Nothobranchius furzeri: one gene and its partner. The protein of the gene in region 1 interacts with the protein of each later gene in a biochemical or structural test. Links are inferred from orthologs where the notes say so. Each region holds a gene or a part of one and is shown on either strand. Other genes may lie near its edges.

Evidence for each region. The genes of interacting proteins can lie anywhere in the genome.
Region 2: of the proteins of mettl22 (region 1) and kin, one has a biochemical effect on the other in vitro, tested with the Homo sapiens proteins (2 studies listed by BioGRID). The link is inferred for Nothobranchius furzeri from reciprocal best matches to the Homo sapiens genes METTL22 and KIN.

The regions. Positions count from the first base shown.
Region 1 is NC_091758.1:12,613,775-12,621,366, reverse strand, and holds the start of mettl22 (methyltransferase-like protein 22), read right to left. Parts: upstream 4,449-7,592; 5' UTR 4,342-4,448; intron 3,745-4,341; 5' UTR 3,643-3,744; exon of another isoform or gene 3,597-3,642; intron 1-3,596. UniProt on the Homo sapiens protein: Protein N-lysine methyltransferase. Trimethylates KIN at Lys-135 (in vitro).
Region 2 is NC_091741.1:35,927,138-35,934,781, reverse strand, and holds kin (DNA/RNA-binding protein KIN17), read left to right. Parts: upstream 1-2,961; 5' UTR 2,962-3,092; coding exon 3,093-3,206; intron 3,207-3,303; coding exon 3,304-3,398; intron 3,399-3,485; coding exon 3,486-3,529; intron 3,530-3,598; coding exon 3,599-3,721; intron 3,722-4,191; coding exon 4,192-4,376; intron 4,377-4,452; coding exon 4,453-4,501; intron 4,502-4,577; coding exon 4,578-4,623; intron 4,624-4,705; coding exon 4,706-4,835; intron 4,836-4,911; coding exon 4,912-5,040; intron 5,041-5,108; coding exon 5,109-5,208; intron 5,209-5,289; coding exon 5,290-5,390; intron 5,391-5,995; exon of another isoform or gene 5,996-6,035; coding exon 6,036-6,095; 3' UTR 6,096-6,330; downstream 6,331-7,644. Other genes in the region: atp5f1c (ATP synthase subunit gamma, mitochondrial), read right to left, coding at 1,942-1,976, 2,320-2,360; itih2 (inter-alpha-trypsin inhibitor heavy chain H2), read right to left, coding at 6,393-6,540, 6,616-6,727. UniProt on the Homo sapiens protein: Involved in DNA replication and the cellular response to DNA damage. May participate in DNA replication factories and create a bridge between DNA replication and repair mediated by high molecular weight complexes.

The sequences.
Region 1 (7,592 bases):
ACTTGAACTTTGCCTGTGGTCTTCGGCCGACTGGGGGGTTGTCAGTTTTTCCCATTTCAAAAAAGCTGTTGACAATCAGTAAGCCTGTGAGGTTGCTGAGTCTTTACTGAGCTAATGCTGCAGCACCTGCATTTGTGATTTAACACCAGCAGGCAAAAGCTCCAGAGTTGTTTAAAGAACCAAAACATGAAATCCAGAAGTTCTTTCTTGTACTCCTAAGAATCCACAACATCTTTCTGTTTTACTCTAATATCGGGGGAGAAGACTAGAGGCTAATGTTGGGCTAAAAATGCTAACGATGAATTAGGAGCAAGTAGGCCGTTCTAAAAATAGCTCAAGCTACTTTTTCAATTACAATACAATGGTCACAATGGCATACAATTACAATAACAACTGAATATTACAGTGAAATGTATGTGTGAAGTGAATAATAAATCAGTTGTGGCGTTTTACTTTCTTTAAGAGTCCCTCAGCAGCAAACAACGCTTCAACATTTCTGAGTTTCACATGATGTTGCATCTACGTCACTAAATGCAGATGGGGGTCAAGAAGCAGCCGGCGCTGCACAGAACGCAACTTACTTTGTTGACTGGGTATTAAACTTCCGCAATTCTAGCGGTCTACGGTTATTACAGTCACTTTAATCCGGACAAAGCCACCCGCACTTGTATATGTTATGTTCTGTGTCCCTTTGTTCCCCAGCCCCTCCAGTTCCCACTCCAGGTTCTCCTTTTGTTTCATAGCGCCCTCCTGTGTCCTTTGTCTGCATCTCATTTATGTGTCTCTTTGTGTTCCTCATTTGTCCCCTGGTCTTCAGCCTTCCAAATATATCTCTCAGGTCCTGTGTTCCTTTAAGTCTTCTCCAGTCATCCCTCTGCAGTGTTTATAGTTTCAGCTTTTCATTTTATTAGTCTCTTTTATATGTTTTGTCCCACCAGTCTTTGTAGTTCTCCTTCCCTTTAGAATATTAGTTATGTGGTTGCTTTTCTTGTTTTTAGGTTTTTTCTTAGGTCATATGAGTTCCCTCCCTGATTAAGTATTGCTTTCACCTGGTCCTCTCCCCACACACCTGCAGCTCATCTGCTTCCCATCATGCCCCAGTTTATTTAAGCCCGGTCTTGTCTCAGTGTCTTGTCGGTCCATTGTTGTTTGTCAGCGGTGTTTTGGTGATTCTTGTCAGTCTTGTCTCATACCTGTTCCTAGCTTCCAGTGTTTCTAGTTCTCTAGTGTTTTTGATGACTCAGTTTAGATTTTTGGATTTTTTGGTTTTTGGCTCCCTGCCTTTGGACTACTACCTTAATAAAGGATTTTTACTTTATCCTCCACCTCTGCCTCGTTCATCTGGTATCTGCATCTTGGGTCCTAAATCATCCTCCTACACCAACTCGTGACAGTATAGGGCCTTTGAAGTCAGAGTATCATTCATCAATTTACACACTGATGGTGATGAGTTACAAAGTAGCCTCAGCTGCCCTGAGGCACACCTACAGAGACAGAGCACAGGCACCACCGGTCCCTCCGACCACCATCAGCTGGCAAGGTGGGTTAAGTGTCTTGCCCAAGGACACGACAGCGGTATTCTCTGTCCGGAACCCGGATTGAATCTGCTACCTTCCGATTACTGGACAACCCGCTCTACCTCAACTTGGCTTCAATTTATATAGCGCCTCACAGACGAGGGCATGCCACCAAGGTGCTTTACAAAACAATATCGATTAAAAACATTCAAAAAACAACTGAGCTAAAAACAAGCTAAAACAAGATAGAAACCAAGAATAAAACAAGGTCAGATTACGTAAAGGAATAAGACTAGTGAAAAGCCAGATCATAGAAATGAGTCTTCAGTCTTGCTTTGAAAACCACCACAGAAGTAGAGGCCCTAACTTTTAGTGGAAGGGCATTCCAGAGCTTCAGTCAAGCCACGCAGAAAGCCCCATCTCCCCTCGTCTTCAGACATGACCTTGGGATGGAGCAACAAGTTATTCTCCGAGCAAAGCGACCAAGTTGGGGCGGCAGAAGTGGATCAGTAATCAACGGCTTAAAACAGGAGCTGAAACAGACAATACTGGAGTTTACCGCAATCCCTTTTAATTAGGTAACAGATTACGGAGTGTTTATTAAACAGTTGCTTAGAAACAGCCATAAAAACTAGGGATGCTCTAGCCTGGCAAGCCAGACTAAATAAATGTATTATTTAGTCTGGCCACGCTCCATTGACGGCTCTCTGTTGTGGGGCGGGTTCTACCGTTGTCTTTCAAATGATCTCCGCATTCCACTGGACAATGAATGTGACGTACTCTTGTTTCACTCTGTTGCATCATCCCACCCACCAGGCATATAGAGTGCCCTGATTGGCCCACAAAGCGGATAAAGCTCTGTGATTTGTTCACTAAGCAGATAGAGCATTATGATTGGCCCACCATTATGGACCAATCACAGCTCTTTATGTGTTTGAAACCCCTCTAGATAGCTGTGATTGGCTAGCCAGAGTCCTGGTAGGAGCTGCAGAGGTTCCAATGGAGCATGCCTAGACCAAACTTTGCAAAGCAAGAATTTGGTCTAGTTCACTAGGCTAGGGATGCTCCAATCTGATTTCCGATTGGAAATCGGACCCGATCACGTTTTTGATTGGAAGGATCAGAATCGGGAGAAAAAAAATCGGATTTAACCTTTTAAAACAAACAGCAAACATGACTTTTTAAATTCATCCTGAGATTTTCAAATTGAATAAAAATGGCTTTGTTTAAATCTCAATAAGTCCCTCTACATTAATAATATTTGTTTCTTGTATGAAAACAACACAGTAACGTCACACAATTAATGGCAGGCAAGGACTCAGACACCAAGTGCCGCTGTTAGCAAACCTGCTAACACAGAGCTAACGCGTCTCCTCAGGAGAGCTAAAATATCTGCACCTTGGTGGTATTTTAAACCGGACAGCAAAGGCACAGCTACAAACACCTGTAATGTGTGCAACTGAGCATTCAACATGTTGGACACAGCTCCATCATTCGCTGCCTTCAAACAAGCTACTTTTGGCTTTTCCCTTCGGGCATCAAAAAAGCAAATCACCGGTCTCCATGAACCCCCAGTGTACCTCCAGCAGTCACAGTGAAGTCAGACAAAAACACAGAGCCAGCCAAAAGAGAAAGCTGCACTAATGAACAAACAGAAATTGTCAAAAGACTGCAAAACATGGAGGTTCTAGTTCTCCTTCGCTGGAGCTACCGGTGTTGTGCAGAGAAAAGCTACCCTGACTGCCGAAGGCTCCGCCTGCCCGCTCCATCATGTGAACACGGCTCACAGCTGCATACTGAGGGAGTAAACAACTTGAAATAAGAGCAACGCTGCTACTTTTAAGTATATTCACAATATAAACAAGTTTTTAATTGTGTACTTCCTAAATAAATTAAAGTGAAACTTAAAGGACAATTTGGATGGGTTGTCTTCTTATATTAATGCTTTTTCTGTGTATGACTCATCTTTGTTTATCATCTAGAATCTTTTGGCACTGATCTGTAACTGGATACAGCCTTGAAACTCATGTGCAGTGAAAAGGTCTCGTTTTATTTATAAAAATGGACTGCAGTACCCACATGTGACCACGGGACGTCATTCTTACTTCCTTCTTGTATAATGCACCTTAAACACCTTTGGGTAACCTCCTTTGGTAGAAAGACAACCAGTCTGGTGAATCCCAGTGACTCAAACCTTGGATCAGGTGCTGGTTGTCCAAAGCTCAGGCTGAAGGTTTAGAGAAAAGAGATTCTTCAGGGAAGATGACGTTTGAAGTGTGCTTTTTCTGACCATATTTTAAATGGTTTTAGAACCTAAACAAACTACCATCATAAAGAACTGTAGCAGTAACATGTAAAACACTTGGGTTTATCTTAAACCCTTCAGATTGTGTAACACATCTTTGGGAAATGTATTAAAATAAAGTTGTAAGGAACTGAGGCAGACTCATGATGGGAAAACAGAGTCTGTTAGGACAGGTGTTGTGCCGAAAAGAGCATGCCTGCCCAGATGTGCACCCCCTGTTGTAAGTTGTTTATTGAACACCGTTCTGTGTGAAGAAAAATACACGCTGTGCAGAAACATGCTTGTGTCCAAGTTAACCACTATAAATAGAGATGTTTGGACCCGGTTCATTTTATCACGCCAACTGTAGGCTCCGCCCCCCCGCTGCTCACATCGTCAGTTAGCTCCTAGCTAACGCCGCTAATCTTTCCGTCTGCGTGTATAAACCACACACACATAAACGTGTTTATTGTACTGGTGAGCATCAAACCACACAAGGTTAAATGAGTAACATCAACACCAGGGGACATGGGGACTCACCAACGATGGTAGGGCTCATACAAGACAACATAATGCTGCGTTTGCCGTTCCTCGATAATAGGAAGTTCGTCGAATTAAGTGAGTTGATTTGTGTAGATAGGTGACACGAGAGCGCAGAAAGCACAAAACACACTATTAATTCAATTTATTTATTTAATATGCTATCGGAGCATAGCTTATAAACCCTATGTGATGTATGAATACGACTGCGCCTTTTTTTATATGTCTCTAGTTAGAACGAAGTTGAAAAATCTTGTAGCTTCTGGTTGGTCCAAACGCAGCACAGTTCTTCGTTTCTGTCTCAGAGTAGAACAGGAGCCGCAGTGGCGTGTTGCTGCCACATGCTGTCCGTGGCTGGGTAGAGCGAGGTCTGCGCCTCTGGATGCAACTCTGGATGGATGGATGGATGGAACAGTTTAGTACACTCATGAAGCCAATCCATTCTCCTGCTGGAAGCATTTTTTAAGTTCTAAAAATTTGTTTTAATAAATAAATTTGAAACTGCTAATTATAGTAAATCATTGTATTTAATGTTTACTACTTAACATATATTGCAACACAATTTATTTATCATTCAAAGTTCGCTTTCTCATTGGATATGGATGAGGAAGGAAAATGGGTGATCCGAGGCACTCTGAGAAGTGTTTTTAATTGAGCATGAAAATGCTGATGTGTTTGGGTCACATACGACCTTCTTCAGGGCATTAACAGGATGTCGGCTTTTTCTTGCTCTAATAAACACGCTCCTCAGAGTGCCTCGGATCACCCATTTTTCTGATTTCATTAGATTCTGAAGAGTACCTGGAATATATATACTCTCTGTGTGTGTGTGTGTAAGCGCGCGTATGTATTCCCCACAGGTGCGCTCACTTCCACCTATTTTTAAAGTTCACTTTTTCTTTCACCAAAATTTCTCACTTTCCAACAGCAACAATAGCAGTCAAATAAAAGATAAAATATTAATTGGAATTTGTTGCAGAAAATAATATTTTATAAATTTTCCAATTTCTGTGTTTTTCCTTCCAGAATTCACCAATCAGATTCAAAGCATAATAAGATGAAACCCTGTTTCCTCATCTGTAGCAGCAGCAGCAGTAGTAGTAGTAGTAGTAGTAGTGGTAGTAGTAGTAGCAGTGGTAGTAGCAGTAGTAGTAGTAGTAGTAGCAGCAGCAGCAGCAGCAGTAATAGTAGTAGTAGTAGTAGTAGCAGTAGTAGTAGTAATAGTAGTAATAGTAGTAGTAGTGGTAGTAGTGGTAATAGTAGTAGTAGCAGTAGCAGTAGTAGTAGTAGTAGTAGTATTAGTTGTTGTTGTACCAGCGGGTTGTCCAGTAACTGAAAGGTTGCGGGTTAGATCCCGGCTCCCACCAGGGATTGCTGCTGTTATGTCCTTACCTGACGGACCGGTGGCACCAGTGCTTGGCAGCCTCGCCCCCGTCTGTGCACCCAGGGCAGCTGTATCTACATCGTAGCTCATCATCACCAGTGTGTGGATGGGTGAATGACTGATTGTGCTGTGAAGTGCTTTGGGGGGTTGCCAAACCCTAAGAAGGCGCTATACAAATACAGGCCCTTTAGTAGAAGTATTGCTGACAATCTACACAAACATTATTATTTATTTACCCTTAATTGAACCATATGTAATGTGTTTAATTTTCAGATGACCCTATCTCTAAGGGAGAGCCCAGCCACCCTGCAGAGAAAACTCATTTCAGCCGCTTGCATCTGCGATCTCGTTCTTTCGGTCACTACCCAAAGCTCATGACCATAGGTGAGGGTAGGAACATAGATCGACCGGTAAATTGAGAGCTTCGCCGTCCAACTCGGCTCTCTCTTCACCACGACAGACCGGTACAACGCCCGCATCACTGCAGACGCAGCACCCACCTGGAGAAGGCATTCTACCCTTTTCTGATTCAAGACCGTGGTCTCAGATTTAGAGGAGCTGATTCTCATCCCAGCCACTTCACACTGCTGCGAACCGTTCCAGCGAAAGCTGGAGATCCTGTTCTGATGAAGCCAACAGGACCACATCATCTGCAAAAAGCAGAGACCCGATTCTTAGGCCACCAAAACAGATCCCTTCAACACTTTGGCTGCACCTCCATAAAAGTTATGAACCAAATTGATAACAAAGGTCAGCCTTGGTGGAGTCCAACTCTCACCGGGAATGAGCCCAGATTACTGCCAGCAATGCGGACCAAGCTTTGACATCGGTCATACTGGGACCTAACAGCCCGTATCAGAGGGCCTGGTACCCCATATATCACAGGGCCCCCCGAGGGACGTGGTCGAACGCCTTCTCCAAATCCACAAAACACATGTAGATTGGTTGCGCAAACTGCCACGCACCCTCCAGGACCCCCTAAGGGTATAGAGCTGGTCCAGTGTTCCACGGCCAGGACGAAAAACACATTGGTCCTCTTGAATACGAGGTTCAACAATCCGATGGACCCTCCTCTCCAGAACCCCTGAATAGACCTTTCCGGTGAGACTCAGGAGTGTGATCCCCTGTAGTTGGAACCCACTCCGCAGTCCCCCTTTTTAAATAGGGGGACCACCACGCCGGTCGGCCAGTCCAGTGGAACTGCCCCAGATGTCCACGCAATACTGCAGAGCTGTTCCGGGAGTCTTGCTCCATGGTCTCACTGAACTCCTCCCATGCCCGGGTTTTTGCATTTGCGACCACCTGAGCTACATTCCGCTTGGCGTGATAACCATCAGCTGCCTCTGGAGTCCTACAGGCTAAAAGACCTGATAGGACTCTTCCTTCAGCTTAACAACATCCCTAACCTCCAGTATCCACCAGCGGGTTCGGGGTTAGCCGCCATGATAGGAACCGATGACCCTGTGGCCACAGCTACAGTCAGCCGCCTTAACAATGGAGTCACGGAACATGGTCCACTCGGACTCAATGTCTCGCGCCTCCCCTGGCACATGTTCGAATTTCTGTCGCTGGTGAGAATTGGAGCTAAGCAGATCCTCACAACAAGTTTGGGTCTGCCAGGTCTGACCGGCATCCTCCCCCACCATCGAAGCCAACTCACCACCAGGTAGGGGTCAGATGACAGCTCCGCTTCAAGAGCACATATGGTTTTATGTTTTATGCTTAAACTTGGTGTTCATTATGGACGAGCTCTGATTCAGATCAGGGGGACCATTCTTCACAACCACACCTCTCTGGGTCTCACTATCGCTGCACACATGAGCATTTAAGTCCCCCAGGACAACGAGGGAGTCACCAGAAGGAGCGC
Region 2 (7,644 bases), on another chromosome or scaffold:
TGCCGCCAGTGTGTGGCAGTAATGAGCCACTGATCTACCAGTGGGGCCGTAGAAGAAGAAATTAGCCAATAAGTGCCCTCGGTTTTCATGACGTATCACGTTACTGACGCGCATCTTGCTGTGAGAGATGGCGGATCAACAACAAATACGGAAGAAAAATAGAAGCGACAAAACAAGAGAAACCCCGGACAAAAACCTCACGAGTATGGGAGCACTTCACTAGATGCCTTGAAAAGACCGGTGACCTGCAAAATATGCAAAAACCATGGCACGACGGAAGCACGACGTCCCTAAGTGAACATTTGAGATGAAAACATGTGGGAGCTGATGCAGCAGAGGAAAGTCCGGTAAGTAACAGAAAATAAACAAGCTAACGCAGATCACATTTGGGACTTAGTGTTAGCTGAGTTCGTTATAGTGGATGTTAAACATGTTTTTTTTTTTTTGCCGCGTCAGTCTACGGTGTTCTACTTCTGATTGACTAGATGCAATCGTGAATCTCCTCCGTGTTGTGAATCATGCGCTTGCCAAATTTAGCACGTCTGTTTATAAGAATGTTCTCGTTAAGAGAAAAACGGCACAAACCCATAACTGTGTTCCTCATTCAAAAAAGGACAACTCCGCGGAGAAAAATATACAGACGAGCTGTGTCCAGGTGAATATAACGCGGCATAGTTGTACGCTTTCAATTTTTAAATACAGGAGAAATTCAGAAAGTCCTTTTTTTAACTATTAAAAGGCTGTTTTACTATCTAACGCTGTAAAACGCCTCACAACACATTTTTGTCAAAATAAATGATCACTGTATATTGTTAATTAATTCAAATAATGTAATATTGATTTAGTGTTGTAGTGTGTGTGCTGCTTTATTTTATATGTGTACTTAATTCAGTTTATTTGTGTTTCTTATGCAGAAAAAAAACAAGCAACGATGGACAACTACATGGGGAACAAGACACTCACCCCCAGCAATGCATACCACTTACAAACTCTATTCCAGATTCTACATTATTTTTTATGGAATTTACCTCTTATATTTTGATGCCAAAAAATTATTCTGGACTGATATTTTGCACTGTTTAGCTCATTTTACACTGCTGACTGTGGTCATGTGCAATAAAATAGATTGCAGTCAACTGCACAATTCTCTTATGTTTTTCTTTTTCTTAACTGAAATGTATTCATCACTTGTATAGGTTAAATAGCTTAACAATAACAAACCGATTAATCGATTAATCGAAAAAATAATCGACAGATTAATCGATTATGAAAATAATCGTTAGTTGCAGCCCTACAACATACCTCCATTATTTTTATTATGATTCTACAGCATAGGGTCTAAGAATTTCTCCAAACTCAATCCTGATGGGAGAACCTTGTTTTGCACACTCACTCCGTGACTGGACCGGCAGGTTCTGGTAGCAGCTCTTCTCTGCTTTTATAGCAGCCGTATCTGACCAGCTTTTGCTAATGTGGAAAATCAGTTGATGCCTGCGTGCATTCTTAAATAATTCCTGCATGTGAAAACGACTTTTGATTTAGTTCTGTTCCTTGATAGGCCCGTGCATTTTAATTGACATCTGCATTAATTGTAGTGTAATAAAAATAAAATATCCCATAATTTATATTCACATTAATATACACTGATTTATGCATGTAAAAATAAAAAGGAGCTGTATCATAAATCATAGAACCCCTAAAATTAATATTTGACACATTTATGTTTAATTCTTTTTTTAAATCCTTTGTAAATATACTAATCTGAGCTCCCAATATGCATAAAATCAAGTGTGAACGTCTTACTAACTCGACTTGAACCCACTATTTTGATAAAACCTATTAAAACCTGTGTTGTACAAACACACCTTAGATTCTGCTCAGGTTACAGTCTTAATTTAAACAACAATATGATGTGAGTGTGAAGTATTCATCAGTACTTACTGTCCTTCAAGGTAGCCATGTTCCTGACCTGCCCACTGTAAACAACAATAATGCATGTGAGCAGACGCTGACGGGTTAACAACATGGTAAAAGGTCATTAACAAGTCTAGGGTTATGACCCGATGCTAACTGCTGTTAATTAAACACGATTTAACATTAAACAGGCAGCTATGCTAGCATTAGCACCTAGCCGGCTATGGAAATCCATTCGCACCGCCGTCATTCATCAGCCGCGGCCTACATGCTAGCACGTCCTTCCACGCAAAAGATTGCCCGCGTTACAACGTAGAAGCTGCCCACTCACTTCAAACAAGCCAAATCAATGAATTCATTAATAAAAGCGCAACAAGAGCAGTTGTCGAGGTATATTTGCGTTACCATTGTGGGGAAAAAACCAACGCGCTGGTCCTGGCGAACATGTTACCACTATGAAGGTCAGACACGCAGAACTGCGCAGGCGCAAAGAAAAGTCGGTGGTAACGGAGGTTGCCTTCAGTGAACTCTGGAAATTGTATTCACATCAAAATTCAAGGGAAATGCCGTAAGAAGCCTTTTTTAAATCACTGTTTTTGTGTGTTTTTTTTTTTGTTGCCAGTGTCGCACAATGAGAAGTTCAATAACTTCAATAATAAAAGCGAACATAATTATCAAAAAGCTATGTTCATTTCATTTTCACAAACAGTTATAGAAAGTCATTTGCCTTTTAAACAGGAAAACGTTTAGCCAAGTGAACTAGACCAAATTCATATATACAGGATAGCTTGCCATGCTAGAAAAATGTTTGGAATGTCTAGTAGAAATTAATCCTTGGTCTCAGACTGATTAACCTGTAAAGTTTACATTAATTTAAATTGAATTAATAAATGCTTGTTTTTTGGTGACTCAAATGTGGCGTCTATTGAATCCGATTAATTAATCATACAAATTTCAGTTACAACGAGTTTAAATGATATACGTAATTAATATTATTTAAAAATTACGAACAGTTCTTGAATGTTACACCAAGTATCGCGTGATTCTACGGTTTTTCGCGAGGTTAGAAGACGGAAACGGTTTGTCAGTTGTGTACTAGCAGCAGTTGATTGTTCTGTCGAATTTTTAGCCTTTAAGCGAGTGTTTTTTGCTGCAGTTGTTTGGTTTTAGTTTTCGCCATGGGAAAAGCAGATTTTCTGTCGCCGAAGGCCATTAGCAACCGAATAAAATCTAAAGGTCTCCAGAAGTTGCGGTGGTATTGTCAGATGTGTCAGAAACAGTGTCGAGATGAGGTGGGATTTTGATGAAATTCGACAAAAATGGTGTTATTCTCGATAATGGACGAATTAAAGTATTTGTTTCTGCCTTTTTTATTTATTTGTTTAACAGAATGGCTTCAAGTGCCACTGCATGTCAGAGTCCCATCAGAGACAGCTGCTGCTAGCTTCAGAGAACCCTATGAAGTTCATGGACTACTTCTCAGAGTCAGTTTATCACAGACGTGATGTAAAGACAAACACATCTGAATGTTTTTAGTAAAATGGAGCACATTTGTGTCGCTTCTCTTACAGTGAGTTCAAACGTGACTTCTTGGAGCTGCTCAGAAGGCGTTTCGGTGAGAATTGTGAACCATCTGCAGATGTGTCAGGGACATCTTTGTTCTGATTGTCCTCTTCGTTATCAGGAACCAAGAGAGTTCACAACAACATTGTCTACAACGAGTACATCAGCCACCGGGAGCATGTCCACATGAACTCCACGCAGTGGGAAACTCTCACCGACTTCACCAAATGGCTCGGCAGAGAAGGTAAAACGTCACTGATCAGAAAGCATCTGGGATTTTACAGGATCTCTGTCCACTTTCTGGATTTTTGTCTCCGTTACAGATGCTGTAAAAACAGGCAGAAATGAGGAAAAGAGACCAAGAAGTTGGGATTTGTAAATAAAATTCTCTGAACTGAAAATCAGACGGACAACTTTAAAAATATAGTTCATATTTTCATGATAATTTCTATAATTTGGAGAATATCCTTCAAATGAATATCATAGCCTCCTTTTTATTTAACAGTTTTTCAGTTTATCATTTGTAAAAAAAATTTATTTTTCCTCTAAATCAATTTGCAGCTACTTTAAGCGTCGGATTAGGAGTTGGTTTTGTCTACTTACTAATAAATTTGTAAAGTTTCACATCAAATCGTGAAACTAAATGCACCTTTGGATCGTCAGGTTTGTAATAGTGAAAAGAATTTCTGCTGATCTGTTGGAAATCACCCTCAGGTTTGTGCAAAGTGGACGAGACCCCTAAAGGCTGGTACATCCAGTACATCGACCGTGACCCAGAGACCATCCGGCGCCAGGAGGAGGAGGCCAGGAAGAAGAAACAAGAGCTGGACGATGAGGAGCGGAGCGCCAAGTTCATCGAGGAGCAGGTCCGCCGAGGCCGAGACGGAAAGGAGACCGACGTGAGTGCAACAGGAAGCTGAGACCGAGCTCGGCTGCGTTCAACAAAAGTAATGCTTCTTTTTACATATTCTGCAGGAAGATCCGGTTTACACTGAGCTCAAACGTGAGAACGAGGAAGAAAAAGGTTGGTCCTCTTCTCTTGTGCAGTCATAGCTTTAGCTACAAATGTGTTTTTGTACTAAACTTCTTTTCCCTTCCAGTTGCTTTCAACCTCAGCGCTCCTGTAGCTTGCTCCTCCAAATCAGGGTACGGATCACCTCGTTGTCCTCCACATGACTAAATCTGGGGAGCGTTCTGCCTCTGATTACCTCTTTGTGTCTGCTGCTAGCTCTGCTCTGAGTGCCAGTGCTCTGAAAGCATCATCATCATCATCCTCAGTCAAACGCAAAGATGCACCCTCCAGCTCCAACTCCAAAACAGAGAAGAAGAAGAAATCTGCACTGGAGGAGATCATTGAGGTTGCGTTTGGTGTATTTGTTTGTTTACCGTTTGGTAATCAGACGTTCTGATGTGTGGTTTGTTTGTTTTTTCCAGATGGAGGAGAGGAAGAGACAGCACTCCCCTGCTGTCAGAACCGATTACTGGCTGCAGCCAAACATCGTAGTTAAAGTCGTCACCAAGAGGCTGGGAGAGAAGTACCACAAGAAGAAGGCCGTCGTCACGGTAACAAAGTGATGTCTTTATTCCAGTTGTTTCAAAAGTATTCGTTGCTAAACTTGTTCTGGCGGCAGGAGGTCCGAGACAAATACGCCGCTGTGGTGAAGATGATCGACTCCGGCGACAAGCTCAAGCTGGACCAGAACCACTTGGAGACGGTCATACCCGCCCCAGGTCGGCCATGTTTTTAACCCAAGGAAACGTTCTAAATCACTGGATGTGAAACTGTTGATTCCATCGTGAAACGTTCTACAGGGAAGCAGGTTCTGATCCTGAATGGTCCGTACCGGGACACGGAGGCCGTCCTCGAGGGGATCGACGAGAAGAAATTCAGCGCCAAGCTCACGCTCGATTCTGTACGCATTAAAACGGCTTCATGCCCAAGTTTCACCAGATTTCATTGTTTAATTTTAAAGTGGTTTTGATCTTTGTTCTCGATCAGAAAATCGGTTCATTAATTTGATTTTCAGCCTCTTAACTCAGATCTGAATCGTTCAAGCTAACCTAGCCTCCCTGTTAACCGTAGTTGGTCACAAACACATAATTAGTCGTACTTTTTATTTGGTACACCTGTAAGAAGGCTAAACACAGCGACGGTGGCACAGGAGGTAAGTGCTAGCCCCGAAATCGGAAGGTTGCAGGTTCGAGCCCCGCTCAGTCTGTCGCTGTCGTTGTGTCCTTGGGCAAGACACTTAACCCACCTTGCCTGCTGGTGGTGGTCGGAGGGACCGGTAGCGCCTGTCCTCGGCAGCCTCGCCTCTGTCAGGGCGCCCCGGGACAGCTGTGGCTACATCGTAGCTCATCCCCACCAGTGTGTGAATGTGTGTGTGAATGGATGAATGACTGATTGTGTTGTAAAGCACCTTGGGGGGTTCCAGGACTCTAGAAGGCGCTATATCAAATACAGGCCATTTACCATTTATAGAAAGACTCACAAAAAGATGTCATTTGGCTCCAAACGTGATGTTTTTGGGGTTGATTTTTTATTTCCTGTTTCACAGGGTCATCAGAAAGGAGAGAGAGTGGACGTCGCTTATGAAGATTTTTCCAAGCTAGCCTGAAGATGAAACATCTCGAGTCGTAGAACTGAGGGACTCTACTGTGTCAGAGTTCATTCCCAGATGCTTTTGTACAAAGACACTTTCAACAACCAACTAGCTTCAGAAATCAAACCGGTTTAGAAGATTATGTTGAATTTGTTTGATTCTTTTAAAAAAAACAATTTGATATTTTGTTTAAAAATGTAAATTTTGTTCAAATAAATGCAATAAATTTGCTTTCTGCTTTGTGGAAAAACCCAGGTGACATCATTAGGAAACACATCGTGGATGGTTGTGGGTTTTTAAGGATGTGTGTGTTCAAAACATCTGGAGGAAGCTGTTCAGATCTGGAACGATGTATTGGCTGTAATGTCCGTCGATGAATCCCTTTCCGCTGTTATGGATGAACCAGCAGAAGATGTTGGACCCATGCTTTCGGTCACGTCTGTAGTCTTTCTGCCAGCCCCTGACACACACACACACACAGATTTAGGCTTGCAGGAAGTCTTCACCATCTTGTTTTTGACGTGTGATGGAGTACCTGGTGACGAGCAGCTTGTTGCCCTTCACCTCCATCGTGGCCTCCTTCTTCAAGGGGTCGGCTCCTTCGTGGATGTCATACAGACTCATCTCAGGTTCTTGTGAAAACTGCCCTGTGACATCACAGTTTTAGTTTCAAACTTTGGTGAAACAACTAAACAGTTTTCTGTCATAACTTATAACATTTGATTTTAGTTAATGTACCACTAGAGAGCGCTATAATTCTTTAGATCCACAGAATTAGAACTGCATGATAATTCAGTAATTCAATCCATCTATCAATAAACATGTGGTGCGATAGAAAATAAAAATGGGTCAATAAAAAAAGTTTCCTTTTTTCATTATAACCTATCACGTAGCAGCATGCTAGACTCACTACTTGCTCCTAACCAATCAAAACCACAGACTGGGGCACGCTGCGTCACCAGGCCCTCCCCTCTCAAACCAAAACAACAGGAGGCAGTGAGAAAATGGCCAGGGCTGCTCGTAAAATATTTTAAACTATTTTAAAAATGTTTTTCAATAATTATCGATCAATATAAATTTTTTTATCAATATACTTTATTTCTATATTGTCCAGCCCTACTGCAGAGCTAAGTCTTTGCTAGCGCTATGGTTGTCGATTTGTAGGCTAAAAAGCTCCAGACGTCATGTGACTCAGAGTAGACGCCATGTTGGCAGGCAGCAAAGGTAAACAAAATGAACGGGATCGGCTTGGATTTTACTCCGTCAGAGTTTACTTCACACTTTAAAACCGAAGAAATCGTTTTATATAGTCAGAAATTAAATAGACTAAACATCTTCGACCCTTACCGTGCCCCTGGGATACTTTTTAAAAACGCCAGAAGCTGTCGGAGCAGACCTGGCCAGGGAACCCCTTGGGATTTCCCCGAAGGAGCTGGCCCAAGTGGCTGGGGAGAGGGAAGTCTGGGCCTCTCACCTTAGGGTACTGCCCCCACAACCCGACTCCGGATAAGCGGATGAAAATGGATGGATGGATGGACAAATAACAGATTTAAATGTAAGTAGT